Linked DNA regions of Tamandua tetradactyla. The protein of the gene in region 1 purifies or fractionates together with the protein of each later gene. This does not show direct contact. Links are inferred from orthologs where the notes say so. Each region holds a gene or a part of one and is shown on either strand. Other genes may lie near its edges. The genes, in order: SMARCA5, BAZ2A, CHRAC1 and BPTF.

The links.
Region 2: the proteins of SMARCA5 (region 1) and BAZ2A purify together in Homo sapiens (affinity purification with western blotting; 3 studies listed by BioGRID and IntAct, with this or other methods). This does not show direct contact. The link is inferred for Tamandua tetradactyla from reciprocal best matches to the Homo sapiens genes SMARCA5 and BAZ2A.
Region 3: the proteins of SMARCA5 (region 1) and CHRAC1 fractionate together in Homo sapiens (co-fractionation; 5 studies listed by BioGRID and IntAct, with this or other methods). This does not show direct contact. The link is inferred for Tamandua tetradactyla from reciprocal best matches to the Homo sapiens genes SMARCA5 and CHRAC1.
Region 4: the proteins of SMARCA5 (region 1) and BPTF purify together in Homo sapiens (affinity purification with mass spectrometry; 4 studies listed by BioGRID and IntAct, with this or other methods). This does not show direct contact. The link is inferred for Tamandua tetradactyla from reciprocal best matches to the Homo sapiens genes SMARCA5 and BPTF.

The regions. Positions count from the first base shown.
Region 1 is NC_135348.1:24,143,570-24,151,250, forward strand, and holds the start of SMARCA5 (SWI/SNF-related matrix-associated actin-dependent regulator of chromatin subfamily A member 5), read right to left. Parts: upstream 3,526-7,681; 5' UTR 3,269-3,525; intron 3,246-3,268; exon of another isoform or gene 3,044-3,245; 5' UTR 2,982-3,043; intron 2,788-2,981; 5' UTR 2,748-2,787; coding exon 2,571-2,747; intron 897-2,570; exon of another isoform or gene 874-896; intron 1-873. UniProt on the Homo sapiens protein: ATPase that possesses intrinsic ATP-dependent nucleosome-remodeling activity.
Region 2 is NC_135333.1:123,696,803-123,704,775, forward strand, and holds the start of BAZ2A (bromodomain adjacent to zinc finger domain protein 2A), read right to left. Parts: upstream 3,113-7,973; 5' UTR 2,853-3,112; coding exon 2,798-2,852; intron 1-2,797. UniProt on the Homo sapiens protein: Regulatory subunit of the ATP-dependent NoRC-1 and NoRC-5 ISWI chromatin remodeling complexes, which form ordered nucleosome arrays on chromatin and facilitate access to DNA during DNA-templated processes such as DNA replication, transcription, and repair.
Region 3 is NC_135332.1:87,005,234-87,013,754, forward strand, and holds the start of CHRAC1 (chromatin accessibility complex protein 1), read right to left. Parts: upstream 3,149-8,521; 5' UTR 3,020-3,148; coding exon 2,873-3,019; intron 1,277-2,872; coding exon 1,150-1,276; intron 498-1,149; coding exon 379-497; 3' UTR 1-378. UniProt on the Homo sapiens protein: Forms a complex with DNA polymerase epsilon subunit POLE3 and binds naked DNA, which is then incorporated into chromatin, aided by the nucleosome remodeling activity of ISWI/SNF2H and ACF1.
Region 4 is NC_135332.1:6,280,517-6,288,114, reverse strand, and holds the start of BPTF (nucleosome-remodeling factor subunit BPTF), read left to right. Parts: upstream 1-4,278; coding exon 4,279-4,909; intron 4,910-7,598. UniProt on the Homo sapiens protein: Regulatory subunit of the ATP-dependent NURF-1 and NURF-5 ISWI chromatin remodeling complexes, which form ordered nucleosome arrays on chromatin and facilitate access to DNA during DNA-templated processes such as DNA replication, transcription, and repair.

The DNA.
Region 1 (7,681 bases):
CATCTACATAGCCTCTTCACAAAATGCTGCTAGAATACCATGAAATGTATACACTCTTAGGAAAAAAAAAAAGTTTTTCCAACATTCATTATTTCTCATAGTAAAAAAGAAAATTGGACACCAGGCCTCTCGAGGCCATACCATTACAGGCATTTAGTGTGCCTATCTACCAGTCCAGTCAATAGTGAGCAATCAGGATGAATGAAGACAGGCTCCACATTAACAAGATCATATTAATTAATAAAAAAGTAAGACTGCTCTCTTGACTATCAGTACCAAACCAAACAAAACAAAAAAAAAATTATTGAATTAGCTAGCAAGGCTGATACTTCCAGGAAAGTTAGCTTTGTCACAAAAAAAGCTCATGAAAACAGAGCTTCATTTATTTCCTGATTTCAGAAAAAAGGACCTTAAAACCTATTTTAAGACAAAATAAAAAGGTTTGTAAAAATGTTTCTTTTTTTTTTAAATCTATCCTCAGATAATGTGTGTATGCTCAAACCCTTTCGTGTAAGACTGAGGGTACATTTAATTTAGAAAGATGAAAGACACCATAATGTGACAGAAAAAAAAAAAAAAAATCTAGTCAATGAAAAGATAGATTGAGAAAAGATAAAATTACTGATATTTTCATACTGAGAAGGTAAAAAAAAAAAACCCAGGCAGGCCACGGTGGCTCAGTGGTAGAGTTCTCGCCTGCCATGGCGGAGACTGGGGTGTGATTCCCAGTGTTTGCCCATGTAAAAAAAAAAAAACTAAAACCGTGTCATTCTGCAGTAAATGAAATTGCTAAACATCATTTGTATAAGAATGTGACACGGAAAGATGTGGGGAAAAACAATCAGCTTTGAAGTCAGGCCTGGGTTCACTTACAGGTTCTAGTTAAAAAAGACTCAGTTTCTTCATCTGGCAAACACGACTCCACACAGCAACTGTTGTTATCATCATACCAAACACCTATTTAAAATTTAATTAAGCTTTAATTTTAAAACAGCAAATCAAAGCCACAATAATTAGCTTTAAATTACACTGCTTTCTGATATTTAAGACCTCTAGTGAAACATTTTTACATTATTCCAAGGCTGAATGAGGGACTTTTTCGAGAAGCTGATGAAAACTATGAATATCTTTTCGAACATCTCTTCGCAGAGAGTTGCACATTCACACACAATTTTGCTTTCAGTATCACATTTTTTAAGCCCTCTTACCCATGGGGCAGTAACCTAAGTTAAATAGCCCTAGTAACCCAAAAGAACCACAAACCTTAAGGGAAAAAAGGCAATAGCAGATACATTTTTATTTTAAATTAATGTCAATCACTGAAAACTACGTAACATTAGATCTCCTATTCCACTGAAACTCATCCTCAACACTAAAAGTACTTTCAAAGATTAATAACAAAAGATGTTATATCACCCTAGATTAGATCCTTGCTGCTCAAATAAAACTACTGGCCAAGTGCCTTCTTGGTAAACTGTGCTACCATTTTCTCAGCCTGCTGATTCTGCATCAAAATTTTCATAGCAACACTAACTTCATTTCGTCTAAGAATGGAAAAATCACAGATAATCTTTGAGCTGAATATCGAAAATATCTCAAAACAGGTTGAAGACCACGAACAAAAACTGGAAGGGCCAATCACTGTTCCCAACCATAGAAAAACCTTGAAGCATCTCCCAGAGAACCACCTAGTAGCAACACTGTCTTTCCACCCCCACAGTACAGTCGTCACCCACCTGAGCAACCCAATCCCACAGGGTGCAGTGCGCTGTACTAATTAAAGACAAAAAAAAAAAAAATGTCAAGGCCCAGAAAGACGTACGCTGGATGGAAAGCCAAATAACGGACCTTAATTCACTAATTCATTCATCAACTCCCACCGAAAATTAGACAGCGATCCCAAGACAGCAGCTGCTGCTGCCTTGGCCACATCCCTCCCGGCGGAAAAGGGCCTGGGAGGGACCTCGTGTCACTTCAGAGGAGCAGCTGTGTCCCGTTTATCCCCACTGCGCAGAGGGCCATCCAGCCCTCGCCATTGTTTCTTTACGAACAGATACCGCCCCCGCAAGGACTGGATGAAAGAGGCCCGAGAGCTCGCATGCGCTGCTTTTAAATGCCTTCCATTCAGAAACAGTCTTTCCCTCACTTTTAAGGGGCACCTCCCTCGCTCCTCCCCCAAGTTTGGTGGAAACTAAATCCTACATTCAAGGATGGGCAGGGGAATTATGGGAGTCTAATGGGGCTACAACACGGGTGGGTAACTCTCACTTGACCACAGTAATCAAGCACATCTGTTTAATAAGGGCATTAGAGGATTTGGCAAGATCTACTAAAAAAGACAATTATAATGTGAAGTGCCAAAAACCATCTGAATCTGCTTGGACAGGTGACAGAGCGTAATAACGAGAAAGCATCATTTCAGATACAAAAGGCCTAAGGCCGAATTTGGTGCAGAGGGGTGAAGTATGACTCTGTGTCTATCACTGAACTCAAGGCGAAGGAACCAGCTTCTCGCCACTGCCTTCCCGCCCTCTCTCGCGCTGCAAGCTGTTCCCACCTTCCTCACTCACCTCCATCTCCGCGTCGGCAGGACCTGCGCTGGCCACCAAGGGAGCCACCTGGGACACGACACCCTCCAGACAGCCTTTGTTGCTGTTGTTGCTCCCGCCGCTGGCGGCGGAGACTGTGGTCTTGGAAGGCGCGCTCTCGAGAGGCGGGGGTGGCGGAGGCTCGGCCGCGGACGACATGATGTTCCGTCTGCGTCACCCGCTGCTGCCAGAGGCCGGCCTGGCAGGGATGGAGGGAGAGGCCTAGGTAGGCCTGGGTGGCTACGTCGCAGTGAGCTGATGGAAGAGCAAGAACCCGATTTCCCGCCCCCCACCCCCACCCCCGCCGCGGCTCCGAAACGGGCCTGAGGCGGACGCAGCAGGTTCTTCCTCCGCGTCCTCCTCAGCGGCGCTCGGTGTTCGACGCGGGCTTACCTCACGGCGGGAATCTCGTCGGCGAGAATGGGCGGGGCCAGCCGGGTCACCAAGGTCAGGGGCTGATGTAGAGGAAGGCCGAAGGTTATGGAACCACGAAGGAAAGAGAAGAGAGACTGAAATGGGGTAGCAGCTTCGCCTCCTCCTCTAATACCTCTGGCGAATATCACCTAACTCACCAGAAACCAGGATCTACTACCTACGCCACCGACTTTCAACACTCGCGAGAGTGCTGGTTGGCTGACTGGGGCCCGGTTGCGCATGCGTGTTCCGTCCCTCACGCTTACCCACTCCTCCCGAATCTTAAGCATGCTCTGGAGCGCGGAGTGGGTGGGACCTCGAGGGAGACCAGAGAGGCTGGGAGAGATGTGAACCCAGGGTTTCTGTGTCGGCTACTCGGCATGACGTGAAAGCAGTTTTATACGTGTTCGTAACGGTTCACCGGCCTTGGATTCGCTGTCTTCTCGGCCTGGCCGGCGTCGGCGGCATTCCCTGAAGACTTGCCGACTTCGCGCTGTGTACTTGGAGGTCTGTCCTGGGCCTTAACGCTTTTGCCGCCTCCGACAAGCGCGTGACGTCACTGTGACGACGATACGGTTATCTTGAATGAAGTCTCTTTTTTTGTTGTGGTCTTGTTGTTGTTGGCGAAATGTCCGTTACAAAGGTATTTTTGGTTAGTCTTCACACATTAGCTGCATCAGTCATTTCTGAATACCCCCTACTTCCTTTTGGTGTAAGGGTATACGATTTTTCCTCTGAATTCCCATGCTAAAAGTAAGCAGATAAGTTGCGTGCGCACACCGTTAGGTGAGGAACATGCGTATCCAATAGAAGAAAACAGACGAGCGAAGGGTTGTATCTTTTCCTCATCACCAAACGTTTAATTAAAATGTGCATTCTCTTTTCCTTACAAAGTTGTGTTGAATTTTCGGCACTGTAATTCTTTGTGTAAACTGCTTTGTGCATCCACAAATGCCTAAAGGTTTGTGCATCCATCTATTATACAGAATTTAAGCACATTATGTTCTATTTGATAACAAAACTGCGTGATACGCTAGATTATTATCTGCCCTTTCAGGTGTCTTATTCATGTCCGTATCCCCGTGTCCACTGTTCACTCAGTATTTATTGGATAAAGAAGACAAAATTTTCAAGAGTTAAGGTTGAACCACCTGGTTGATTATGTTGAATTTCAAACAGAAGGATTTTCTTTTGAATATCCTGCAACCATTTTAGCTAATTGAACAATAATTCTTTGAGAGCTAAAAAAATGTCCTCAGCCCATCAAAAATGCCATTTCTGATTTTAAAACTATTGGGCATCCAAAACCGAATTGTTGGTCTTTAACAGCCATTGACATTGAAGAAGAATAGCGTTCATTAAACAGTGTTAACCGAAAAAAAAATCAAGTCAAAAATGTAGAAAAAGATGTAGATTAAAAGATTAGAAGGCTATGCGTAAAAGTATTCAAAATGATTGTCACTGGTATATTTTTTGAATTACTTTTTACTTGACTATGTTTTCTGATTTTTCTAAAATGAATTTGCATTATGATTGTATTGAGAAAACTCACTTTTAATTTTAAAAAATGTTAATTCAAAAAAAAAGTTTGTGAGGGGAGAATGAGAAAATAGTGTCTACGATGTTACCTGACACACAGACTTCAATTATTTGTTGAATAAGTACTTGTTTAATATTTACATTCTTATGTAAAAGGAATACAGTATTAATATTCAGAATATTTACTTAGTCTTTACAGTTGTCTTAGGTAAAAATCTTGGGTCCTGATTTGGAAACCCTAAAATTATACGTAAGTATTTAAATGAAAGGGTCTTAAGTGTGGTAACTTTTTAAGGAAACCAGTAAATAAAATTGCCCAAAAAGTGACAGTAGTTATTTAATATGTACATTAGTACTGTGGGTTTTTCATATGAGCATATGAACGCTGTAAAAGAATCTTGTTAGGGGAAATTATGGAGAACAAATACTTAAAAGAAACTAAGGAGAGGAGACAAAACATTGTAAATCACTAATCTAACATAAGGGACAGAGAAACAGATTTTGAGCAGAGCCTTAAATACAGAGACAGAGAGGGGAGAGGTCTACCAAAAAGAGAGAATGCCTAGAAATAGGATTTAGAAACATAAGCTGGGTTAGGCAGATAGCAGTACTTACATGGTGGTGAAATCACCATGTAGATTCTTCTAAAATTAAAAGGCTAAAGCTAAGAGCTAGTCCTGGAATTGACAGTATAATGTAGAATTTAATGTATGGTAAAAAGTAGAAAATGGGGAGTCAGGCTCTGGAACTTAGCAGCTGTGTGACTGCAGGCAAGTTATTCAGCATTTCTGAAATTAGTTTTCTCTTTCCTCAGATTGGAATAATATTCTTATAATGTTGTCATAAGGATTAAATTATGTAGTGCATGTAGGTGCTTAACACCGTGCCTGGCAGATAGTGTGTTATGATTTCAGGTGTGAGGTATTCTTATTCTGAAGAACCATAAACCTACAGATCAGGGCCTAGGTGGAGGAAGAGGAACTTAATGGCTTTTTGAAAGAAATAGAGGGGAATGATGGCAAGAAAACCCTAGAAAGAACTAGTGTTTTAACCATGTTCAAGGAACTGTGTACTACAATGTAAAACCATCTTAGTGTTCTCTCTCAAATATGCAGCATATATTGTTTACACATGAAACTCCTTCTATGAAGACCTCTTTTGTAGCTCAGATGTGGTCTCTCTCTCTCTCTAAGCCCAACTCTGCAAGTAAAATCATCCCTACTGCATGGAACATGACATCCAGGGGTGAAAGTCTCCCTGACAGTGTGGAATATGATTCCCAGGAATGAGACTGCCTTCCTGACCAAAAGGAGGGAAAGAATTGTAACAAATAAGGTATCAGTGGTCAAGACAGTACAAATCAAGAGGCCACTCTGGAGACTGCTCTTACGCAGGCTTCAGCTAGACATTGCTATTTATCATAGCGTGCCAAACCCCAATTAAAACCATCCCTGCCAACCATAAAGAACATCTAGGACTTTATCTGAGATTCTACAAAGGCTCCATGCGCTATAGTTACTTTCCAGAAATCTGCAGCCTCCAGATGGGTTCCTAAGCTAGAAAAGTCCTGAAACTCAGTGAGGCCATCGTCTCCAGAATATGAATTAATACCATCCGCCTAGCCCATATTATCAACAGCCCTTTCCAATATGAAAAAGTTAAAATGGGCATAGCCCAAATACCCCTAGAGATTGGGAGAAAGATCAAGGAGAAGTTGGAGTTACAACAGAGAAGATAGGATTTAACCAATGAATATGACTGCTGAATCATTATATTGATATTTCTTTTAGTCTCCAATGTCTTGGAGCAACTAGAAGGAAAAACCTAAAGTTGTAGAACCGTTACCCATACCCAACTCTGAAATCTGTTTTCTAACTAATTGTTGCAGTGTGCTTTAAAGTTTTCTGCTTTTTTGCATATGTGCTATTTTTCAGAATAAAAGTTTTAAAACATAGGGGTGCAAGGGTAGTTCGGTGGTAGAATTCTCACCTGCCATGCAGGAGACCTGGGTTTGATTCCAGGCTCATGCACTCCCGCCATACCCCCAAAAACAAAATTTCAGCGAATGGTGCTGCAATAACGTGATAGTCACATGGAAAAAGAATGAAATGTGACCCCTACCATACAGCATAAAAAAATTTTTTTAAACAAAATACCCTCTGTGAAACTTAGTATGTTAGAACAGCATGTGCAGTATTGAAATAGGATGTAACAAAGAGATGTTGCTGGAGGATAAAAGGTGCCAGATAGCCAGGAGCTTTTTGGTTTTGATCGGTAACAGAAACTTTAAGTTTCAAGGAAAAGGTAGTAGTGCTGCACTAATCTTCACTGCACACTCATTTTAGTTTGTAAAAGTCTAGGAAAATAAAGTCTGGTTATTACATGACAACAATAAAACAGCACTGGGTTTTTATCTAAGAATGGGAAATTACCAATGTTCTTAGATAATTGTGTGTGTATCCTTTCCTCACTTCTCCTGTATAGGTCATTTGCCAAATAATTTGGGGATTTACTTTCAGCTAACGAAAAACATTAACTATACTCTTAATAAATTAAGGTTAGTAAAGTTTAAATACATGCCCCTTACATTTGGTCAACTCACATCATGGTGTGATTTTGTACGTTAGGTTTATATACGCATATTTCACTACCTTTTAAATTTGTATTTTCCTCACTATAACTTAAAATTCCATTTCTTTGTGCATTTCATTACTGCTTGTTAAATACAATTTTTCTTTATCGAATTGGTTCTTGGGGAAATACTTCCAAAAAACCCAAATATTATGATCCAAAGTTGTAACTGCTCTGCCCAAAGCTTTATAGGTTAACTGACAATTATGAAGCAACTTTCTTTAATAAAACTCAAAGTAAATAAGAATCTAGCACTCAACTAACTGTAGCCAAAGCTACAATTAAGAAATTAATGGTTTCTTTGTACACAAATTTTGTTTGCTGTTACTTATAAAAATACAGAAATTGTAATTTAAAACTCATAATGAACATCTGGCTTCTAGTAATGGAAAAAATAGCTTGCTCCTATCAAATCATTGGATGGCAACTATGAACTCTAGAAAAATATTTTTAAAAACTACCTGGTGACAGTGAAAGCAAAGGGAAAAAAGTCATCAGAGATTGGAGGG
Region 2 (7,973 bases), on another chromosome or scaffold:
GCCACACTCCAGAGGTTATATAACAAGGATATTCCCTCTTTCAGCTCCGATATTTCTCAGAATTTCAGGTCAACACTTAAGGATGCCAACTTTTCCTCCAAGAAGATACTCATCCCCACCACTACCACAAAAAAACTGAGCTGGGCAAGGATCCTATTAGTGAAGCAGGTTATAGAGAGTCAAATTCCAGAAGACCAAAAGTAGTGAGACTACCTGTCTCTTAAGAATCCTTGTTTTACTTTTTTTCTGACCAATTTTTTAAAGATTACATTATCCTTCAGTTTGCAAAATTCCTTTAGTAATTATTCCTTATAACTAGGGAAAGCATAAAACAGTAAGCCAATGCTACTTTTACAGTCAGTAAACCAGTCCTAGAACAATTTCTATAACTCTTCAATGGAGAAAGGTTTTTTGTTTTGCAGAATTTTATAAATTTCAAAATTATACAGACTGACAAGCTGGTGAAACATGTCCTTCTGACCATGTGCAACAATGCTGAGAAAGTATTAATCTTTCTCATCTCATTTGAGGACACCCATACCTCACGAAAAAAAAAAAATCAGGAAGATTATTTGTCCTAGCAAATACCTTGAGTTTTATACATAAATAATACTAATAATGTTATATATAACATATATATAAAGATTCATGCTCTAGTCTATGTCCTAGTACATAACTTGGGTCTTATTGCCTCACTTTGCACATCTCACGCAATGCCAAATCTCACAGCAATTATTGACTGACTTCCATATTAGTCTGACAGTGAAAAAAAAAATAACAGTTTAATACTTGACCTCTTCAGAGGTGACAAGATTGGTCAAGCAGCCAAACACAGTCAATAACCCTAACAAACTTTGCTTCTCTCCTGGTAACACGTGATTTCAGAACCACAAGACTGCAAGATGAGCCTCTCAAGGTGTTCTAGATTTCTGACTAGCTCTGAGGTCAGCCCATGAAGTTCTCCCTGTACCTCAATTTTTTTCCTTCAGGGATTGAAAAAAAAAAAAAAGGACCAGTTAAGATTAAGAAATCCATTTCTCTGGTATAGAAATGCAGACATTTACACAAAGGTCATGAGAGATTTGCTTCATTCACCAATCAAATGAAGTCAGTATCTACTTTCTCAAAATCAGCTTCTATTTCTTTCGAGTTCAAAGAAAAAAGGGTGGTCCATTCTCCTTTCCTCACTCTTTTAACACTTAATGGAAAAACAAGTTACTATTCTGTGAGCCCTGACTTAGGTGAGGAAAAAATTTACAATCAGCATGGAATCAACCTTCTATCATAAAGCAATTCAACGGAACCAAACAGTCAAGCAGAGGAGCAAGAAAAAGCTGATATCAGACTTTGTATTCACTGTTTACAGAATATTAGCAACTTAACATACCCAGTAAAAAGAACAATGATGATATCTTAACAGTGAAGATGTCACTATCAATCACATTTGTTTATCTGTTTCTGTCCTGGACCTTTACTCTAGGGATCTACATCCAGGAGAGTGGTTTGTGATACGAAAATACTAAAATAATGATTTAAATGCTAGGCCTAAGCAGCTTTCAAGCTACTTCAAATGAAATCGCTACTTCATCTCACAAAATCTAAAATCCTATGGCCCACTCTTGTCCTTAACCAAAATGTCTTGAGACACAGTACACACATCATCACCGAATGTGCCAACAGAAATCTCCTAGAGTTATCAGGTGGGAGAAAGATTAAATCCGGACACATGACTTTACAAAGAACATAGGAAAAACTTACTTCTCTCTAAGAAGACTAATAAGGGGGAAGATGTATTTTATGGACTAAAGGGTAAATCATATGATAGCCAATTCTCCTGTACTAATTAGTTGGTTCTTCAGAACCTTCTACCTAAGTCAACCAATAGGCTTCCCAGAGGAACTGTCTCTCAGGAATGACCCCACCACCCTCACACTAACTCACTATGCCAACACACAAATCCTCTTCTCAGTCAAATCTTCCCCACCCTCTTCCACCTCTCAGAATCTACCCTTCTTTACTGCATAAGCTGACTTGCTCAGGTGTTCTACAATACGGAAACTGCCATGCTTAAGAACATTCTGAGGATCTCAAGAAGCCACTCATACCATACCACAAAAGATCCCAAGTCTTGTATGCTGAGGGAATTTTCATCACTTGAATTGAGAGTGTACCCCTGCTGGTGATAAGTGAGTTTGCTTCTCTATGACCTCTAGCGCAAGGGAGAAAAAAAAAAACCCAGACAGGGAGACAGAGATGCTTGGAAGGGGATCAGGATCAGTGAGTCAACTGCAGCGACTACTTCCAGTTGACAAATTAAGTTTATAAAAAAAAAAGTCCAATGAAAGGACTCTCAGACTACACGGTGGGCAAGATCGAGGCTTGCCCAAAAGGCCCCAGAAAATGAAACTAAATCTGATTAAAATGGACATTTCAAAACAAGAGACGCAGCAGCGAACGCACAGCTGCCATTTCCCGGCCACTTCCTGCGGGAGGCTGGGGGAGGGGCTGTTTGTGTACAGATGGAGGTGGAAGCTATCCCCCTACCACCCCCCGAAGGACGCAAATCCCTCACTCCAGCAAACCCTACAAAGGATAACTGCTATTGGCGTTGTACGCTTCTGAAAACTCGGAATTCCAGAAAAGAAAGGGATGATGTGAGATCATCTTCTCTGCCACGGAAATGGGGATCCCCTTAGTGAGGAATCCCCTTGGAAAGGGATCCCTCTTTATTCTTCCCTTCAGCCCCTAAACCCAGCTCCAAATTCAAACGCCTCAGAATCAGCCCTACAACCCTTACCCAAGAGTGTAGGATTCTCCCCGAATGCGCCGGATCTCTGCCCATGCACAACCATCCCAGTAAGGCCTCTCTCTGGCTCACCACGCCGAAGAGAACGTGTGCTCCCTTCAAGGAAGACACTCTCAGATGCCCTACTCCCCACAAACCGAGTGTTTAACCCTCCCAGGGATCCCCTCGCATTCGGACAGTCCCCACCCCCACTCGAGGAGGTGGAGCCCCTCCCGGGGATTCCACCCCGAGTCCTCCACAGGAGTCATCTCCACCAGACAGGCAGCTTCGCCGCCTCCTCCTCGTCGTCGTCGCCGCCGCCAGGAGCCCCCACAGCTCCTCCCGCCCGCGCAGCCCCGTCACGGGTCCTCAGCAGACCCACCAGCGTCCCCCCCTCTCCCGGGGGCAAGGAGACTCCCGCACGCAGCAGGGTCTTAACTGAAAATAAGCCGCAGGCAGTGATCAAGCCAGCTCCGGAACCACCGTTTCCAGAGGGAAGCCTCAGATGAAAACGGGGATCTCTCCCCTCAGGCCCCCGGGATAGACCCCACAGACCTGAGGTGGCGGCTACAGTCGGGCTCGGGGCTCGTCTCTCCCCGGGGGACGGTCGGTTCACATGGCCTCGCTCCGGGCGCCTGGAGGGGAGGGGACGCCCGCAGGGAAGGGGACAGGGTCCGGGAAGGGGGAGGGGGACGCGGCTCAACCGCGGGGCCCAAGCGGAGCCAACATGGCCGGCGGGGAGGAGGGAGCGGGAGCCGGAGGGGGCGGGGAAGCTGCGGCCCAGAGAGCCGCCCTCTGCTGCCTCCGCCTCCGGGTCCTAGCGCCCAGAATTCTGTCTTCTCCGACCCGGATCTGGGTCCTAGCGCCACTGAGTCTCCTGCCATCCGGCCACCCCTGTCCACCTGCCTTTCATCGCAGGCGGTGGTCCTGCTTCACACAAGGCAAGACGAAAGCCATGCATGGTCCCAAGGTTAACCTAAAAGACTAGGTCAAATTTCTAGGACCAAAGGCATGTGCCATTCCTTTAATAGGCGAGAGGTGGGTGGGGGCGGGGGTCTGGAAGATAATTTCGGGTGCAGTTATTCCCAGGCTGGGAAAGTGGAAAAGCAGAAGTGTGAAAGCGGGAAGGTTAGTCAGGACGATTCAGTCCTGATAAAGGGGTGGAGCAAGGCAGCGAGCCTGTGGTATCTGCTACCCACTCACCTCTGTCCCGTGGGGGCAACCTGGTACTGCCTGGATCACCACTTTCCCGGTGACATCTGCAGGGCCCTTGGCGTTGGGGAGATTCCTGTGAGTGGGAAGAGGAGGCTTGGCTCTGGAATCAAATAGTGAAGACTCAAGTCTGGCCTAAACATGGTCAGAGGGCCAGGAGATAAGAGGAAAACTGACCAGCAATACATGCCCCAAATGTCCACCTATTCTTCTGAAGGCTCTAGTTGCAGTACTTTTTCTGATAAAGTTATATGTGATAGGGTCATATGACACTGTGAAACCTTCTGAAAACAGGAGAGGAAAATCAGGCAGAAGATCAGAGTTTGGTTGTCATCTGCTATGTCTCTTACATTCAGGGCCCCAGGATGGAAGTGCCATATATTAGAGCTTAGAGAATTTCTAGCAACCTTCTCTTGTTACCAGATGAAGAAATTAAGTGCAGAGAACGACTGACCTGTTTGAGGTCAAACAGTGGATAAAAATGTGACTAGAAACCAGGTTTCCATTCCTTGCAGTTCAACAGACCTCAATATAATTCCCATTCAGTTCAGTGCAATGCATTTCTACAAACCACTGCCTAAACTGTGCAAAGCTCAGGCTGAATATTCTGGAAGAGCAACAGACAAAGCCAGGATGAGAACCTCGGGCAGATAGGGGGCACAGGGGGGGATGATTAACATATACCTTTTCCTCTGGAGGTTTGGGAAGGAAAGAGATCTGAAGACCAGGTGGTGACAGGGCAGAGAAAGGCCAAAGCCAGCAGTCTAGATTGGATTATTCCACAGAGGGATGGGTCCTTCCTGTGCTTGGGGGACAGACTCCATTCCCCCACTACAGATACTCAATAGCTTCAGCAAAGCCTCACAAAAGGTGTGGGCCAGAGAGACAAGGGGAAGGGGGCTTTCTTTCCCTCTACTAAGATTTCCAGGGGAAGTATACAGGTAGGTAAACCAAAAGCCTCTCTCCTCCCTGTCAAAAGAAAGGTTTATAGGTCACCTTGGAGAATAAGTAAAGACCCCCAACAGCCTGCTAACCTCAAGTACCTGGGTGGGTAGAGGCTACACTCAGAGGGAGCAGAGTCTTCCTTCTGGAGAAAGGAGGGATCCAGCAACCTTCTGATAAGGAAGGCCTTCTCCCATCCCCTAAATAAAGGCAGATGGAGAAGAGAGCTCAGGACATAGAACTGATTCCTGAAGGGCAGAGAAAGAGAGCTGCTATCCAATGTTTTTCTTTTCCTTTTCCCTCTCATAGGAGGGAGAATCTTCCTACCTCCCACTCCCAATCATAGGGCTGGGGAGTGGGATACTGAGCAAGCAGGGTAGGAGCCTGTGTCAGTCAGATGGGTATAGCCACGCCCATTGTCCCCTCCCCCACAGACACACACCCACCGGCTGGCCGACTCCTCTCTGCTCCGGAAGAGCCGGTTACTCCTGTGCCCCACAGACTGCCCCCACCCTTTCCGAGCCCCAGGCCTTATCTCCAGGGCAACCCCTAGGTCTATTCCAGCCAGGAGAGGGTCACCTGGGATCAGAAAAGAAATTGGGCCTGGATCTGTTCTTCCCATCCACAGCAGAATCATATTCATCCCAGCTAAACAGGGATCTTCCTTGATCTTTGAGGAGAGATGAGAGTGGGGTACCAATACGCCCAAAAGCTGGGTGTTTACTTGCCAGAAGCCACCTCAGGCAGCAGCTGTGCTTCTCCTTCTATCCAGACAACAGAGGGCAGACATTCCTCAGTCCATCAGATGCAGCCACTCACCCCTGTCCCTACCACTCCCCCACCCCCAGGAAGCTACTAGAAAAGGAAAGGGGCAAATGGTCATTTTTCAGCAACTTGTGAGAAGAATGTCTAGGGAATAGATGGAACCTCTGTCAAGCCAGGCCAGTGGGAAGATAATGAGAACAAGGAGGGAAAAATTAGCACCTGCTCCCCTTTCTCACCCTCCCTGTGTCCCTGCTGTACCACCCTGACTCTGGGGTCAGCTGCCACAGTGCCTGGCTCCACTCTGGAGCCAGATGGCAGGGACTGGGAGGGGGAAGAGAAAGAAAGAAAGAGAGGGAGAAAAGAGATTTGTTTGCATCCCTCTACCTCTCTCCTTCTCCCCCTCCAGACACTTCTGGCATCCAACCCACAACCCCACTGCTGACCACCCTCTCCTCCTCTTAGTTCCCCCCCCCCCAGCCCCATCAAACAAGACTCAGAAGAGTGAAGCAAATCCTGATGACCTGTCCCCCAATTCTGAAGGTGGAGAGTGGAAAAAGAGAGTACAAGAGAAAGAACAGTTAAGGTTACAGCTGGACTTGGAAAGGGGGAAGGAAATCCCCAATGGCCTTGGGGTAATTATTAAAGCCCTCTATCCCTACCACCTCCTCCCCCAATGGATCACATTATTAATAATGTTTATTAGATTACCCTCAGCCCTGAAATCATTCCAAATGATCCCTTTCTCTCCCCAGGTTAGTCTCTTACCTCTTTATATTTTGGGTTGGCTAGATTCTCCCATCTAAAGGACCCTAACCTCTCCCTTCTCCTCCCTCCAAGGGCATAAGTGCCCCCTTGGATTCACACCCCAGTCTGTTGCTGAACTCCCTTAATAGGCTTCTCTATGGTGGTTCAAATACAGGATGGAGAAAGCCCCAAATTCCCACCCCCAGGTCTACAACACAAGCTTCTTCAATAGCATCTTAAACCCAGAATCACAAGAATCTGGCAGAGACACATACATCCTACTCTGGGGAAAAGAGTGTTCCTAGGCTGGACTGGCCTACCCGGGGCCCAAGAAGTGGGCCCTTCCCAGCAGAGCAGGGCTTGGTTGGAGGGTACCAAGGTCAGACCCCCAAATTCCGGAAGGGGCTGGAATGGGATAAGGCTACGGGAATGCTTTAGATGGGATTTAGATGAACTTGGGCTGGGCGGAGCGCGGCCGGAAAATGATTGTACTTTACGCCGGGCCCCCCTTACTACGGAGAAGGAGGGGAGTTGGGGTGGCAGTTACTCCTCCTCCCATTGGAGGTTAGGATGGCGTGGGAAAGCGCTAGTTCCAGAGGCGAGGAGGCGAAATCTAGACCGCGGGAGATTTTTCTGGCGAGGGGGAGGGGAGATCCAGGGCTGAGAATAGGAGGAATACCCGGGAAAGGATCGCAGGGACGCGTGAGAAGCCTCGGAATTCCGGTCGCGGAGGACTGGGGAGAAATGGTCGAATAGATAGTGAGGGGGAGCGAGGAGGGGCAACTCCGGCGGAGAGAGGATCAGATCCTGAATGTCGGGCCAGGGGACTGCGGGAGCGGCCCGCTCGGGCACCTCGGGGCCGGAGGTGGGTGCTGGGCCTCACCTGGGTCAGGGCCGGGCCGCGGGCGCGGCGGTGACGGCGCAGGTGGCCGAGCCGGGCGGCGGCAGTGGCGCCTCCTCCCCCAGCCCCGGCCGGCGGCGGCGGCGGTGGAGGGGGGCGGGGGAGGAGAGGTGGTGCTTAAAGGGGCAGGAGCTGCTGGGGTGAGGACGGGCGCTCGGGAAGACCTATCTTGAAGGATCCGCTGGGGGAGGGGGAAGCGGGTGGCGTCTCCTAGAGGCCAGAACCAGGAAGGATCCCAGATGGAGGAAAAGAACAGATCCCAGGAAGAGACAGAAACTTCTGCGGGAAGGTGGGGCGGGTTAGAGGTAGGTCTGAACTGAACACGGGAGAGCTCTACCAGCGCTCCCGGGGCACCCGCGAAGACCTCTTCACAACGCAGGGCCGGGAAGGCGGTGAGAGCCACGAGGACGCCGCCGAGGGCATCAGGTGCTGGAAAGGGTACTCTCCCTGCTGTGGGCCAGGCACGGCCTCTTACTAGGTGAACAGGTTCCCCATGTTTCAGCTCCTCGGCGTCCCAACTCTGCAGCTGTGAAAAGGCACAGCCTCCTTCCCCCAACGCTGCCCAAGTTTAAAAGCCTCTGAAAGCCACGAGAGTAAAGATCTCCAAGTGCTCTCAATCTCAAG
Region 3 (8,521 bases), on another chromosome or scaffold:
ACATTTAGCTAAAACTGAGTCTTAGTTGTTTATCAGAACTAATTTCAAAATATACATATAAGAATTTATACAACTGATACTTAGAAAGTCTTCAAAATCCATCTGTCAATTAAAAAGCAAAGCTGCCTTTGCTGGTGATGACTGGGACCCTCTGTCAGAGACGCTGCTGTTGGGCTCCTCTGCCTTTGGCTGCTTACAGAGTGGGTGCATTAGATGCCCTCCCTTAACAGGGAAAGAATAGGAAAGAACACAGTCTACCTGAAGTTTCTGAAAAGTGGAGAGACGAAAGTCCCACAGGCTTTTTGGCTTCCTGGAGAGCAGTGCTGCTAATCCAGAAGGGTCCTCACCAGGCTGATTTTTAAAGCATTTATTTTTTGTTTAGGATTCGGCTTCATCGTCACTTTCGTTATCATTGTCCTCCTCCTCCTCGTCTTCTTCCCTCTTCTCTTTAAGCATTTTCAGGTATTTACTAGCTAAAATCTTCTTTGGCAATATATCTTAAAAACATAAAGCTTACGTCAGCAATTGGTTATGGTATTCATATGGATATGAATACATCGATGCAAATTTCAAAATGTCCTAGTTCCTGCACTGACCTCTAGAATAGGTCTCAAAACAGGACAATTGAGGCTATGTTTGTAGGTGAAACATCAGAGAAACTAGCACTGCCTCCTGACTGGTGCCAATGACCTGTTTCTAGCACATACCCTGGTGTTTCTCTATGCTGATGACCCTGCCCAACCTACCTGAGATGGGCTGGGTGGACCCAAAGGCAGACTTAAGCTCTTTTTAGCTACAGTCCTGTTACCCAGCAGCAAATATTATTTTCCCTGTTCTGGAACTCAGAACACCATACTGAGTATCCCTTTCCATAGCAGGGTGGATCCTGAGGGGGTGGGGTCTGCTAGGCTCACCCACCCGGCGAGCCACACATTCTTGTGCAGACTGTTGACTCCATTATTGGTCTAGAACCACATAACAAACATATTCAAACAGAAGACTGAAAACGTCTTCTTGTGCCAGGTCATGGTAAACTTTGGCACCTGGAGAAAGCACCAAAACGTCTATTTCAGTGAAAGCAGAACAGGAAAAAAAAAAGCTGTAAATTACTAAGCATTTTTTAACCAGAATGTTTCAAAGGCTAAATACCTTCAAGAAACTGAAAAGTTTCCGATCCCTCTGCGGTAGTTGATAAATCACTGTAAGTCAGTGCTTTCTTTTCTTTTCCACTGCCATGTTTGTAGGAATAGGTGGCAAGATACTGAACAAAGAGTTCCTTAAACAAAACAAAAAAGTAAAATGAAAGTAAGCTTTGAAAACTTATTATAGATAAAATTTAACTTTTTAATTACATTAAGTTTAGATGACTGAAAATTACTTTGGTTTCTCAAATTCAATTATAGGAAATCACTGGGGAAAAGAGAAACATGAGGTCAGAAAGAACGCAAGACCCTATCAAAGTTAATGGGGAAGCAGGCACTTCCTGAAAATTTAGTTTACATTTCTAACTTACAAAAAATATTTAGAAGTGATTAAGTGATGAATCATAAACGTTTAATGACCAATCTCTACACCTAAAGGAAGGAGCATGAGACATTCAAAAAGTGTTTGGGTCAAGGACACATTTTTAGTCATCTATCTAAATGCACTGTTTCTACCGGCTTACTAGATCTATAATAAAGTCAGCAACTTGAAGCTCAAAACTGGCACATCCTCATTTTGCCTAAACCATTTTCCTTATGCCAGGAACACATACATAATCCACAGACTGACCTAAAGCAACAATCTGAACTGAACCTCTCTCCCTCAGTTTTTATTTCGTATATTTTAATTCATCTAGTTCGTTTAATAAGGGATTAAAGAAATGCCTGCCTAAATCTTGGCTCCTTAATACTAACAGATGAAATTGTACAAGAAAACATCGAAATCCCAATATTACATGTGGAATGTGCAAATATTTTCCTGGGCTCTGAGTAATTACGGCTCTGGCAAAAAACAGGTACGAAACTTGTGGTTTCCCTCCCCCGCCTCTCAGCTCTAGTCCAGCATACTGTAGGGACACCGTGTCCCGAGCCAGAGGGACTGGAAATAGGAAGTAAGGCAAGTTAAGGCAATTAATACTACAGCTGAGGCACGGCCCAGCCTCCGAACAGGAAGTGTTCGGAGACCACAAGCAGCTCATCTATTTTTCACGGAATAGAGCACTAGGATAAATTGTAAAATTAAGCTGTGGGATGTTCTGCCTAGGAGATGTGGGGTGATCTGGGGAGCAGGTAGGCTCCCAGAACTCGCTGCTCGCTCCGTCTCTGATTCCGGGCGGCAAGAAAGTTTCAATTATTTACTTTTTAGTTTCTCTCCCAGAGGACTTGCGTTCTGGGGGCCGGCTCAATGGAATATGCCAGAGGACCGCCCAAGCGCGCCGCCACGGTACGAGAAAGGGTTCGCGGGCATTTCACGGATGTTTAGGGGGAGGTGGGGCTCCAGAACCGTGGAACAGAGCGGACACCGGCAAGTAACAGCTCTGCGGCTCGGAATACCCGGACACGAGAAGGCCCAGGGCCCAAGAAACCCGGGAGCGCGGTGGGCGGGGCGCTGGCGGGAGGGCACGGGAGGGCGCGCGACGGAGGGTGGCAGCCCCGCGGGCTGAGCTGGGCGCAGCTGGGAAGGGCGTGGGCGGAGCGTGCGGGCACCGGGGCGCGCGCCGGCGGGTGCAGAGGCAACTTGGAGAGGCGCGCGAGCCCGCGCAAAGAAGCTGGCGGCGCGCGGGCCGAAGAGAACCGGACAGCACAGCGGGACCCAGCGGGGCGGGGCGCGGCGGTTAGGGGGCGGTCTCCACCCCCGCCTCTCACTCCTTCCCCGCACGCAGCCTCACCGTAGCCTTGGCTGTGAGCACCAACGCCTCCTGGTTAATGCTGGACACCTCGGGAGAACTCTTCATGATGACCCGGATGCGGGACAGGGGCAGCGACACCAGCCGTTGCTCTCCGCATTTCTCTTTACCAACGACCACATCCGCCATCTTCCCGCCCCCTCCCCGCAGGCGGTAACCGCGGCTGACCCAACCGCGAGGCACGCCGCCTCCGCCGCGAGCGACGTGGCTGGCAAACAAAGTTGGGGCCGCGGAGCCGGCGTCCCGCTGCCCCGTGGGAGTTGTAGTGTCGGGGAGGTGCGGAACGGGAGCGGACTACAGGCTCCGTGATGCTCCGCGCCCGCCGCGCCTCTGCGCCTGCGCGGACTGTGCCTGCGGAGCGTCCGCGGACGCGCCTGGACCTTCCCCTTTGGGGCTCTCCCGCGTTCCTCACGGCTGGTGGTCGAGCGCGGGGATGGCGTGCCCGCAGCCAGAGAGCGCCCGCCAGCGCCTGGAGTACGCGGGGGCGAGTCTGGAGCCTGCTCACGGGACAGGCCCTGAACGGAGGGGTGAGAGGCACTTTTACAGGAGCCAGGGCGGAATCCTGGGCTTTACTCTAGAAGGAGCTGTGGGGGCGGGGTGTTCACCCCTCTCAGGAACCCGAGGGGAGGCAGGGTGCTGCCGACCCCGATTTGAACGCCAAGTAAGAGTTGTGCCAGTAGGTGAGGATAGGTTTCAAACCCCGGTTCTTAGCAGCGCATTTCCTAAAGCTTACATTGTAGAGTAAAAGACAGAAAATAAACGAATATATAATATACTGTCAGGTAGTGAGAATTACCATGAAAGAAAACGAAGCCGTGCCAGCAGACACACTAACGGGGAATACTGTCTTATCCAGGGTGGTGGGGAAGGCTTACCGGCTGGGGAAGAGAGAAGGCAAGCCCTAGCAATGTCTGAGAAAGCGCTTTCCTGGGAGAAGGAACAACAAATGCGAAGCCCCTGAGGTGGGAGTTAACCTTTTAATGATGCGAAGAGAGACCACCGCAGGTGTGCTAAATGTGATCCCAGAAGTAGTCAGGGTCTAGACTCTGTCCTTTTTTTTTTTTTTTTTCTTACATGGGCAGGCACCGGGAATTGAACCTGGGTCTCTGGCATGGCAGGTGAGAGCCCCACCACTGAGCCAAGGTTGCTTGCTCCCTGTTGGATTTCATTCTAAGAAAAATGGGAAACTGGTGCAGAGTTTTATTACATGAATGATGGTTATGGCTTAAGTTACAGAAGGATTCCTCTGTTCATACTGAGCTGTTTTTTATAACCTGGTCATTCCCAGAAACGTTATGTGACACCTGAGTATTTATGTATTTATGTGACACCTGAGTCTCAAAATTAGAGCTCTGAAACTATGAAAACCAGCAGTATCCTATTCAGGAATTGTTTTAAAAAGTTGGAAAACGGGTCTGACTTCCAGCAGAGCTATGAATGAAGCAGATCTGGATAGGACTGAGGTAGATCAGGATATAGGGTAAAGAATAATATCGTCCATATTTTAAAACTTCAACTTCTGTTTGAGACCAAAGGGAGAGATGTTTATTTTGCGCAAAATTTATATTTGGGTAGTGCATTTCCTAATTTCACTTGTATGGTCAGCTTAATTGAGCACAGTGAGTACATGGACTCTTGACTAGAGTGTGATTATGGGTTTGTCGGGGTTAGTATGATGCCCCCAGTATATCCCAGAGTAACTTGGGCAGTGAATAAAGAAGTATTTGCAAGACCACCCCCTCTTGGGGCACTGGGGAAAAAGGAGGAAATACTCAACTTGCCATTTGAAGTGTTTCTGATATTCTCGCAAGCGGTGGAGACAACCAAATCAATAGTCTTGAGCCCTCAATCTTGGGGTTCAACCCTATGAAACTTATCACTGCCAAAGGATAGGTTAAGCCTACCTAAAATTAGGCCTAACAAAGTTCCTTGATGGATAGGAGAAAAAATATGGAAATATTTAAATTTACCATCAGGGAATCCCCTGATACTGTGTCAAACTTTAGGGACACCCAAATCGACAAGACAACCCCTTGATCTTGCGGCTTACTCTTGTAAAGCTTGTGTAGGTAGCAGAGAAGCTTAGCCTACCTATAGGTATGTCTAAAAGTAACTTCTGAAAGACCTCTTTTGTTGCTCAGATGTGGCCTCACTCTAAGCCCAACCCTGCAAATGAAGTCATTGCCCTCCCCACTACATGGGATATGACATCTAGGGGTGAAAGTCTCCCTGGCAGCGTGAGAGATGACTCCCAGGGATTAATCTGGCCCTGGCACCATGGGATCAACAATTCCATCTTGACGAAAAAGGGGAAAAGAAGTGTAACTAATAAAGTGTCAGTGGCTGGGAGAGTTCAAATAGAGTCAAGAGGCTGCCCTGGAGGTTGATCTTACACAAGCTTCAGTTAGACCTTGCTATGTATTGTAACCTGCCAACCCCCAACCAGGACCATTCCAGCCAATCCTAAAGAACACCTAGGGCAATATATAAGATCCACAAGGGATCCATGCACTAGAGTAACTTCCCAGAAACCTACAACCTCCAGATGGGTCCCTGGTCCAAATAAGTCCTGAAACTTAGCCCAGCCTCTCCGGAATATCAGATAGTTCCATCTCCCTATCCCATATTAGTGACAGACCTTTCCAATATAAAAAATTTAGAATTGCCATAGCCCAAACACCCGTAAAGAGAGATATGGAAAGATCAAAGGTTGATTGTGGAGTTATACAGTGAAGATAGGATTTAACAAATGAACATGAATGCTGAATCATTAAATTGATATCTTTCAGTCTCCAGTATTTTAGAGCAGCTAGAAGTAAAAACCTAAAATTGTGAACTTGTAACCCATGTCAAACTTTGAAATATGTTCTACAACTAATTGTGGCGCTGTACTTTGAAATTTATAGCTTTTTTGGATATATATTATTTTCACAAAAAAAAAAGAAGGAAAAAAAGTCGATTGTGATGATAAAAATATATTTAAGCCCTCTAATCTCCTATGTTCTGGAGCAGCTAGAAGGAAAAATATGAGAGGATCGTATGGTAGCCCATGACAAACTCTGGGATCTGTCCTGTAACTACTTCTTGAAGAGTGCTTTGAAAACTATTGCTTTTTTATTTTTTTGCTTGCTTCATATATTTGTTATACTATGCAATTAAAAAAGTTTAAAAAAGGAAAAAGGGGCAGAGAGAAATGAGATAAAAAGTGTCAGTGGCTGAGAGATTTCAAACAGTCAAGAGGTTATCCTAAAGGTTATTCTTATGCATTATATAGATATCCCTTTATATGGATATGTATTGGAGTGGCTGGAGGGAAGCATCTGAAACTGTAGGGCTGTGTTCCAGTAGCCTTGTTTCTTGAAGATGATTGTATAATCATATAGCTTTTACAATGTGACTGGGTGATTGTGAAAACCTTGTGTTTGCTTGTCCTTTTATTTAGGCTATGGAAAGATGAGTAAAAAATATAGATAAAAAATCAACAAATAATAGGAGGGACAAAGGTTAAAATGAATTGGTAGATGGAAATACTAGTGGTCAATGAGAGGGAGGGGTAAGGCATATGGTATGTATGAGTTTTTTTTTCATTTCTTTTTCTGGAGTGATGCAAATGTTCTAAGAAAAGATCACGGTGGTGAATACACAACTATGTGATATTGTGGGCCATTGATTGTGCACCATATAAGGAATGTTTGTATGTTTGTATCTTAAGATTTATCAATAAATATGTTTATATATATATATATATATATATATATGAAAAAAGGATTTCTCGCTCTTTCTCCGCCGGCGGCGCTCCCACCGCCAGCCAGCCCTCCTCTCCCTCTTTCTCCGCCGGCGGCGCTCCCGCCGCCATCCAGCCTTCCTCTTCCCCCTTCTCCGCCGGCGGCGCTCCCGCCACCATCTTACCCTTCTCTATCCCCTTCTGCTCCGGCGGCGCTCCATCCGCCATCTTATCCTTCCCTTTCTCCTCCTACTGCGGCGGCTGGCGCCCTCCCGCCACGCTTGGCGCCTCGGGCCGACTAGGAAATTCGGACGGGCGTTCTCCCAGGCTGCGGCGGCCGGCGACTCTCCCCGCGTTCGGACCCCCAAACCGGCTGGCACTCTTCCAATCCACTTCGGCTGGCAAACCACCCAATGGTGAGAGTTTTCCAAAGTTAAAGGACCCACAGCACCTTTTACTGGTGGAGCCCGCAGACAAACGTGTGCCACGAGCGCCACCTACTGGGCAGGATAAGAAAAACAGAACCCAGAGATTTCACAGAACAATCTTTCAACCTGTTGGGTCCAACACCCAGGGAAATCTGACTAAATGCCCAGACGTCAGCAGAAGATAATGGATCACGCTCAGAAAATTGAAAATATGGCCCAGTCAAAGGAACAAACCAATAGTTCAAATGAGATACAGGAGCTGAAACAACTAATGCTGAATATACGAACAGAAATGGAAAACCTCTTCAAAAATGAAATCGATAAATTGAGGGAGGACATGAAGAAGACATGGGCTGAACAAAAAGAAGAAATAGAAAAACTGAAAAAACAAATCACAGAGCTTATGGAAGTGAAGGATAAAGTAGAAAAGATGGAGAAAACAATGGATACCTACAATGATAGATTTAAAGAGACAGAAGATAGAATTAGTGATTTGGAGGATGGAACATCTGAATTCCAAAAACAAACAGAAACTATCCGGAAAAGAATGGAAAAATTTGAGCAGGGGATCAGGGAACTCAAGGACAATATGAACCGCACAAATATACATGCTGTGGGTGTCCCAGAAGGAGAAGAGAAGGGAAAAGGAGGAGAAAAACTAATGGAAGAAATTTTCACTGAAAATTTCCCAACTCTTATGAAAGACCTAAAATGACAGATCCAAGAAGTGCAGCGCACCCCAAAGAGATTAGACCCAAATAGGCGTTCTCCAAGACACTTACTGGTTAGAATGTCAGAGGTCAAAGAGAAAGAGAGGATCTTGAAAGCAGCAAGAGAAAAACAATCCATCACATACAAGGGAAACCCAATAAGACTATGTGTAGTTTTCTCAGCAGAAACCATGGAAGTTAGAAGACAGTGGGATGATATATTTAAAATACTAAAAGAGAAAAACTGCCAACCAAGACTCCTATATCCAGCAAAATTGTCCTTCAAAAATGAGGGAGAAATTAAAGCATTCTCAGACAAAAAGTCACTGAGAGAATTTGTGACCAAGAGACCAGCTCTGCAAGAAATACTAAAGGGAGCACTAGAGTCAGATACGAAAAGACAGAAGAGAGAGGTATGGAAAAGAGTGTAGAAAGAAGGAAAGTCAGATATGATATATATAATACAAAAGGCAAAATGGTAGAGGAAAATATTATCCAAACAGTAATAACACTAAATGTTAATGGACTGAATTCCCCAATCAAAAGACATAGACTGGCAGAATGGATTAAAAAACAGGATCTTTCTATATGCTGTCTACAGGAAACACATCTTAGACCCAAAGATAAACATAGGTTGAAAGTGAAAGGTTGGGAAAAGATATTTCATGCAAATAACAACCAGAAAAGAGCAGGAGTGGCTATACTAATATCCAACAAATTAGACTTCAAATGTAAAACAGTTAAAAGAGACAAAGAAGGACACTATCTA
Region 4 (7,598 bases), on another chromosome or scaffold:
ATAGAGCCCTAGGTGTTCTTTAAGGTTGGCAGGAATGACGTTGGTTGGGGTTTGGCAAACCATGGTAATTAGCCAAAGCTTATGTAAGAGTAGTCTCCAGAATAGCCTCTTGACTCTATTTGAACTCTCAGCCCTTGATACCTTATTTTGTTACAATTCTTTCCCCCATTTTGGTCAGGAAGGTGTTGTCAATCCCACAGTGCCAGGGCCAGGCTCATCCCTGGGAGATCCCACATTGCTAGGGAGACTTTCACCCCTGGGTATTATAGCCCATGTAGGAGTGGGGGGTGGTAATGATTTTTCTAGCAGTTGGGCTTAGAGAGAGAGATGTCACATCTGAGCAACAAAAGAGGTCCTCTGGAAGTAACTCCTAGGCATAACGATACCACCTCAACCTTTTAACTGAAAGCTAGCACTACTCTGAAGCAGTGGCCACTGCAGTTTGGCAGTGTCAGCAGGGCAAGCCGGGTCTCATGGCAGGGAGCCAAAGTCATGCTGTGTTCACAGGTCCAGTTCTCTAGCCTGATTTTGTATACTTCCTGACTGCATAGCCTCACAGCCTGGTTTTCAGGGATTTTCAGAGATTCTCTGAGCTTAAAGAATGGGGTGCTGGTGTCTGCTGCTTGCAACTAAGAACCCAACTGATAACAAAATTGGTGCAAGAGTGATTGCAGGCCACGGACTTTTGGGGAAATGGGGTGGGACTGGTCTATGACTGTGTTTTGAGAGTGATGATAGAGAAAATACTTCTAGTATTAAGGTATGAGCCTTTGAGAGCTCATAGCTAACAGTGGGAAAACAACTCAACAAAATCACCTGTATCACTTGGAATTGAAAGCAAGTCTTTAGTGGACTACGTGAGCATATAACGGGTGTGAGGAATTTGAGGACTGTGTGAGGGCGTGGTTTCTGCCAATGGTACCGGATGTCTGGCAGCTGTCTTTGGATTTAGAAGACATTTGTATGTGTTGCTTTAAACCATTTTCAAAGTGGCCTGAATGCTTGCCAACGTTGAGGGCAGCCCAGAGCAGTAGGTTCATTATCAGTTACAGGCTGCAGTGCAAGGAGCTCTGCTAATTGATCCTAATGACCCAATGGATTTATCGGTGCTTTGTGTACAGCCTCATATTGGGATGCTGTACAGAGCCCATGGAAAGCTCTAAAAGGAGCATCACTATAGCAATGCTTAGGATTTTGGAGCAAAGTCTTGCTCTCTTCAGCTGATAAATAGTTTCCTTTTTGGAAGCTGCTCTGACTCTACTCATAGGCCCTGCGGTCAAAAGCCTGACTACGGGTGTACTATGAGACCATGTTAACCTGTGCTGCTTATCATGAATTATCTGTCCCACTTAGCCAAAAAGTGCCCAGTAGCACTCCCATCCCATGCTAGTAGCATTCTAGCATGGTATAGAAAAGCAGGCCAGAGCAGGTTCCAGAGAAGGCCTAGGAGTGTAAGCCCCAGTGTGTTTACTCCCATCTCACCACCACCACACCCCGCAACCATAGTCTTGTGGAAGGATCCCCATGACCAGATGACAAGGAAAAACACCATTTGAGACTGTTTCACAAATGGTATCAGCTGGAAGTGGACAGCTAAGGTGTTTTAACTATACTTGCAAATGGTCTTGGATGGTAGCAAAAGGAAATCTTCTTAGTGGGCAAAACTTTGAATTGTACTTCTTGTGATTCTCTTCGCCTAAAAAAAGGAAGACGCTACATGAATTTGAGGACAGTTTCTCTTTGGCTAAGTAGTTAGGGACTGAGCGGATTGGGGACAAGGCAGTTTGAGAGACAGGACATAAATGAATCTCTCAGAAAAGATTTAGAGAGCGAGAGTTTTTGTGTCTCATATGAATGCTTATCAAAATGCCCACACTACTAAGGAAGCTTTAATAAGTTGGTAGATGAGGAGATCCGCCCTGTGAATGTACATCAAGCCTCTTCCCTAGTCAAACCAGTGCTTGTCTGTTCAGGACCAGAGTCCTGAACAAAGAGGCCATGGAAGCCACAACTCAGGTTGTGCTGTGTTCAATACAACACTTCCTTTCTGCAAGGCTGACCTGGCTATTGCCACTGTTGAGTACTCATGTTAGAAGAAATCAATATAATGAACTCTTTCTATCGTGGAGGGGCCAGTAAGGGAGACACACTGAGAAGAGGTTATACTGAGTTTAGGTTTCTCTTCCTGTCAGTCAAACTTTTCCCATCACCCTATATGGACTTATTGAATACCTTATTCACCATCGTGATATCTTATGCATCATGGCATCTGATCAAGGAATTAACTTTATAGTTAAAGAGATAAAGAAATTGGCTGCCTGTTTAGATTCACTAGCCCAACAAGTGCACCCTGACAACCAGAAACAGCTGGCTTTATGGAACAGCAGAATAGCTCACGGAACACATTGTTACTGAGACACTGGAAGTTAACAGCTTGAGAACTTCGATTCCATTTCTACTCGGAATTGGCAATTGTGGAGATGCCCACATCCTTCTCATGAATTTCTTTTCTATTTCAATAAACCAGAGTCGATTTCTGTTGCTTGCAACTAAAAACTCCAAGTGATACAAAACTAGCTCTCACTGTGCCATCTATTGTAATTTTTTTGTAAATTGGTTACTAGATTGTAAACTCCAAAGGTGTCACTATTTCTATCATGTTTGTCTTCCCCAAACTGTCCTTTTCATAGTACAGAATACCGACTACAAACTTGTAGACCCTGGGTTATTCCTGGTCTGCATCTATTTTGATTGGTCTGAAGTGTTTTTAAAAATTGACTTAGTTGCTAACATTCAACAATCAAGAGATTTCATATGAAGTCCACATTTCCACCTTCTTTGAACAATTTTAAGATCTCGCCTGCCTTCTGTAGTTGCCCTCTTTTTCAACAAAACACAGGTACTCCAGGTTGCCAAAATCTTCACTTAGCCCATTTTGTTTACTTTTATTACCTACCTGGTTCCTGTAGACATATAAATTTGTGACCCTTGGTACTCAACCAAATTGTACGGAACAAATTTGGCAATTAGCACTTGCATTTCTTCAATTACCATTTTACCTGTGTTCTATTTTTTCCAATTGCTTCGTAAACTATTTGGTGGCCGGACCCCATTTTTCTTTGTCATTTTTCTATGTAATGTATTTCCATAAATATTAACTTATGTTTATAAAACCTTTCTCTTACCTCCAGGGCTGACCCTGATTTGGTCTAGCGGAGCCTGAAAATACATCAGCATGATTCATTCCCTGGGCTATTTGAGACTTGGTGACTGATGAGGTAAAGAAATTAAAATGATTTCTCTAGAATGCAAACACAACACTTTGAGGTAGGTGTCAGGAGGGACGCCGTCCTTTCTACCGTAAACGAGAAACAGGAAAGTTCTCGTTAAAGTGGTGGAGTTTCTAGTTGGGGCACTGGAAGCGGTGTGGGAGACTGGAACGTAGTTGCGCTCTGGAGTTTGTCCGAGGCTTTCCGGGATGTGATTATACGCGACAAGCCTCTGAGCGACTTTCCCAGGGCGTGGTTCCTGGCGGCGACCCGGAGCAGTTGCCACTGGGATCAATTTCAGCACTCCAGAACCAAGCCTTCGGAGTTTCATATTTCTGGGGGCTCGTCCTCCCGCCCCCAGTTAACTCCCCTACGCCGCCAGCGCTGCGTTGTCCCCTTCGGTCGCTCGGGTCGCCCCCTCCGCGACACCCTCCCTCTCCGGCTGCCTCAGCATCAGTTTCAGATGAATTTTGTGTCTCCCCGGCTTTCCCCTCCGCGCTGGGCGCGGGGAGCCGCGGGAAGGAGGATTTGCCAAGTCTGGGGTCCGTCTGAACTCCATCCAAGCTTTGATCTCCCGACGCTTTTTTTTGCAGGGGGCATTTCCCGACAGGGGCGCCCCTCTCTCCGGCACCACCGCGCAGAGGCGCCCTGGGCTCCCCGCCCCCGCCTCGGAGCTCCCGCACTCCCCCTAGCGGCCGCCGCGCGGCCTCGCTCCGTCCCAGGCTCGTCGGCGGCGCAGCTCACGTGACCGTGCTCCGGGCCTGCGGCCGCTGTCGGTTCCCCCAGTCACCGAGCGAGAGGGAAGAAACAAGATGGCGGCTGAAGGCGATCCGGAGTGGGGCCCCAGCAATTCGGATTGAGCCTTCTCCCTCCACCCGCTTCCGCCGGCCCGGCCCCTCCCGCCCGGCCCCGCGGGCCTCCCCACCCGGCCCCGGCGCCCCCCACCGCCGCCCCTCCGCCCGCCCCTCCCCCCTCCGCTTTCCCTTCTCCCCCCCGCCTCGGCTCCGACATGAGGGGCCGGCGGGGCAGGCCGCCCAAGCAGCCCGCGGCTCCCGCTGCGGAGCGCTGCGCTCCGGCCCCGCCGCCGCCGCCGCCGCCGCCGCCCACGTCCGGACCCATCGGGGGGCTCCGCTCGCGGCACCGCGGCAGCAGCCGGGGCAGGTGGGCCGCCGCCCAGGCTGAGGTGGCGCCCAAGACGCGGCTGAGCTCGCCCAGGGGGGGCAGCAGTAGCCGGAGGAAGCCGCCGCCGCCGCCGCCGCCACCGCCGCCGCCACCGGCCCCCCCCAGCACCAGCGCCCCGGGCCGGGGGGGGCGAGGAGGCGGGGGCGGCAGGACGGGGGGCGGGGGCGGCGGCGGCCACCTGGCCCGGACCACCCCGGCCCGCAGGGCCGTCAACAAAGTGGTGTACGATGACCACGAGAGCGAGGAGGAGGAGGAGGAGGAGGACATGGTCTCCGAGGAGGAGGAGGAGGACGGCGACGCTGAGGAAACCCAGGATTCCGAAGACGATGAGGAAGATGAGATGGAGGAGGACGACGATGATTCCGATTATCCGGAGGAGATGGAAGACGACGACGACGACGCCAGTTATTGCACGGAAAGCAGCTTCAGGAGCCATAGCACCTATAGCAGCACTCCAGGTACCCACCCAGCCCAGTTGCTGCAGACTCTTTCCCCACCTCCCCTACCCTCCCCCCCTTGTTCACTCCCTCTCATGTACTGTGCATCCTGCTCCGGCCTCCCCCTACCCCCACCTCCCCCCAAACAGGGGAAATGCGACGGCACATCAAGTGGCAAAAAACTAGATTTGCAAGAGGAAAGAGGCGCATTGTTCAAAATGGAGATTGCATTGTTGCAGTTTGCAGGCCACACTCTCGCTCTCTCTTTCTACCCCCCACTCCCTCTTTTTTTTCTCTTCACAATTGGTGCCAGTGCAGTGTCTCCACCGGGCAGGATTGAAACTTTGGCACACATATCCATTGCATTCATTTTCTCTCCTTGTTTTGGTTTGGTTTTTTGGAATGAAAGAAGCCTCTTGTTTTGCAAACCTCTTTGCATTTCTAATGTGGTTTCTTGTAGATATTTATTATATATCTGCTCCTTAGAAAGGGGATTAAGGATCCCGTTTTTAAGATGGGGCGCGCACACACACATCCAAAACACACTTCCCTTCACACCCCTAGATGTGTGGTTTAAAAATTGTACTAAGGAAATAGATCAGTTGGGTTAATAAGGAAGCCTTATCTGGTCCTGTATGTCGTTTTTATTCTTTGAGTGTTAACAGGCTCGTGCAACAGTTGCTGGTAAATGGCTGATGAAAAAACGCAAAGCAGAAAGCTAAGTGAAACGAAACCAAATTTAGTAATTCACCTGATTCAAAATCATTTTGGTGAAATCCAAAATAAAAGTAAAAAACTGCAGGAGCATGCTTTTAATTTGTTCTTGCTTGCTTTGCTTTGGAAAATGCAGATTCCCATCACCTGTTGCAGAAAATGTGTAGTTGATCATCCAGATCATTGCTGAAGATGAACTTTTGGACCAACTTTTGAACCAACTTGAAACTCTCAAAGCAGATATATCGAGGGATTTATTATAAAGTGACCTTTTCTTTTCGCTTTATTTCTGAATAAAACTCCACCCTGGATCTGTATTGAGCTTCTCTATGGTGACTCCTCCCCTGTTTTCTCACAGAGTTTCTGTAGGCTGGTGCTAAAATGCATTTTGTTAAAACATGCAGACACACAATTGCTGCTTTGTATTAAATAACGTAGTTGCAGATTACTAAATTGTGAAAAAAAAACCCAACGTAGTTTGTAGCAAAAACCTACAAGAGTTTCTCCCTTTTCATTATATTTTTGTTTATCTAGTTTAAGGAAATTAGATCCTAGTTTTAAGAGCATTTTACAAAGTAAAATTTATGAGGACATATGAGGAACGTAGAAAAGTAATTAAGGTGTGTCATCTGTTTTTAAAAGAAACACTAGAGTAGAAGTGATTAAACTTAAATGTTTCCATTTTTTTAATAAATGGCTAAATAATTGTTGAGGAGTGTCAGATGTAAGCGTTAAGTCAGATGTAAACTCATTGAGGTTATCTCAACATCTAATGGAAAAAGGTAATTTATTTTGCTTAACAATGGGAATATCTGTCTTTTTTGATGGGGAGCAAGCAGGAGAATGAAGGAAATGAATAAAATAATGTCAAGTATTTATGTCTTTTGTATGTAAGGACTGCAGGTAATTTTTCATTTCTTGCCTACTTAATTTTAGTACATCTTTTATTGTGATAGTTTTTACTTTAAGAAATCGCATGTTGATTTTCTTTCTACCCAGAGTCCGGATTTGAATGAACCACATACAAACTGAATTGCACTATTGGAAGACGTTTTTCCAGATTAGACAGAGTGATGGCATTGTGACAGGGCAGTTCAGCTAACTTTAAATCCCATTTGAAGGCCTAGTAAAGAGTATTTAGGATTGGTGGCTGTGAATTTATTGTTTTAAATTACAGTTTGTGGTTAGGTTTTCTTTTAAAAAAAATCTGTATTTACGATACGTTTTCTTTTTTAAATGTGTCTCCCTATATACATATATTTCTTTTCTATACATACACACAGAGAAGCAGATATGTGATATGTATATCATAGGGAGTTTTGTTCACAACTTTTTTTTTTTTTTGGAGGGGTGGTGCATGGGCCGTTAATCAAACATGGGTCTCCCACATGACAGGTGAGAATTCTACCACTGCATCCCTCAGTTCTTTTTCTTTATGATTCTTGCAGTCAACCTTTGTATGCTTGTCCTAACTCTGTATAAAATTATTAACTCTTTAAGGTTAGGTGTCCATCCTGTATCCCCTACAGCTTCTATTACAGTGTCTTACACATAGCAGGTGCTCCTCAAAGACTGGTTGGATACATGATTGCTAGTAGGTGAGAGTTTGTAATAGATGAAGTTTTGATAATTCTACAGTGGATTAATATGTTTGAGCTTCTATTTTGTATTACTTGCCAGGCACTTTCCTTTCCTTAGAGGTTGTGTGTGGTATTAGCTTGTTGGATGTCTTGTCTTGTCTTTTGAAACACATTTCTCAAGATTGTAGTAAAATGGATGATATGATTTGTTCTAAACTTTTAGAATATGTCCACTTATGTAGAATAAGTAATAAAGCTTGACAAGTGAATTGTTTAGGCTGAGTACTAGTTTCATTTGTTTTGTTATCTGTACTTCCTGGGAGGAAGGCTGTCAAGTAAATGTGCATATATGCTTATATTTGGGAAGAAATAAAGCTCTAGAACTGGGGATATCCCAAGAGTGTATAAATAAATAT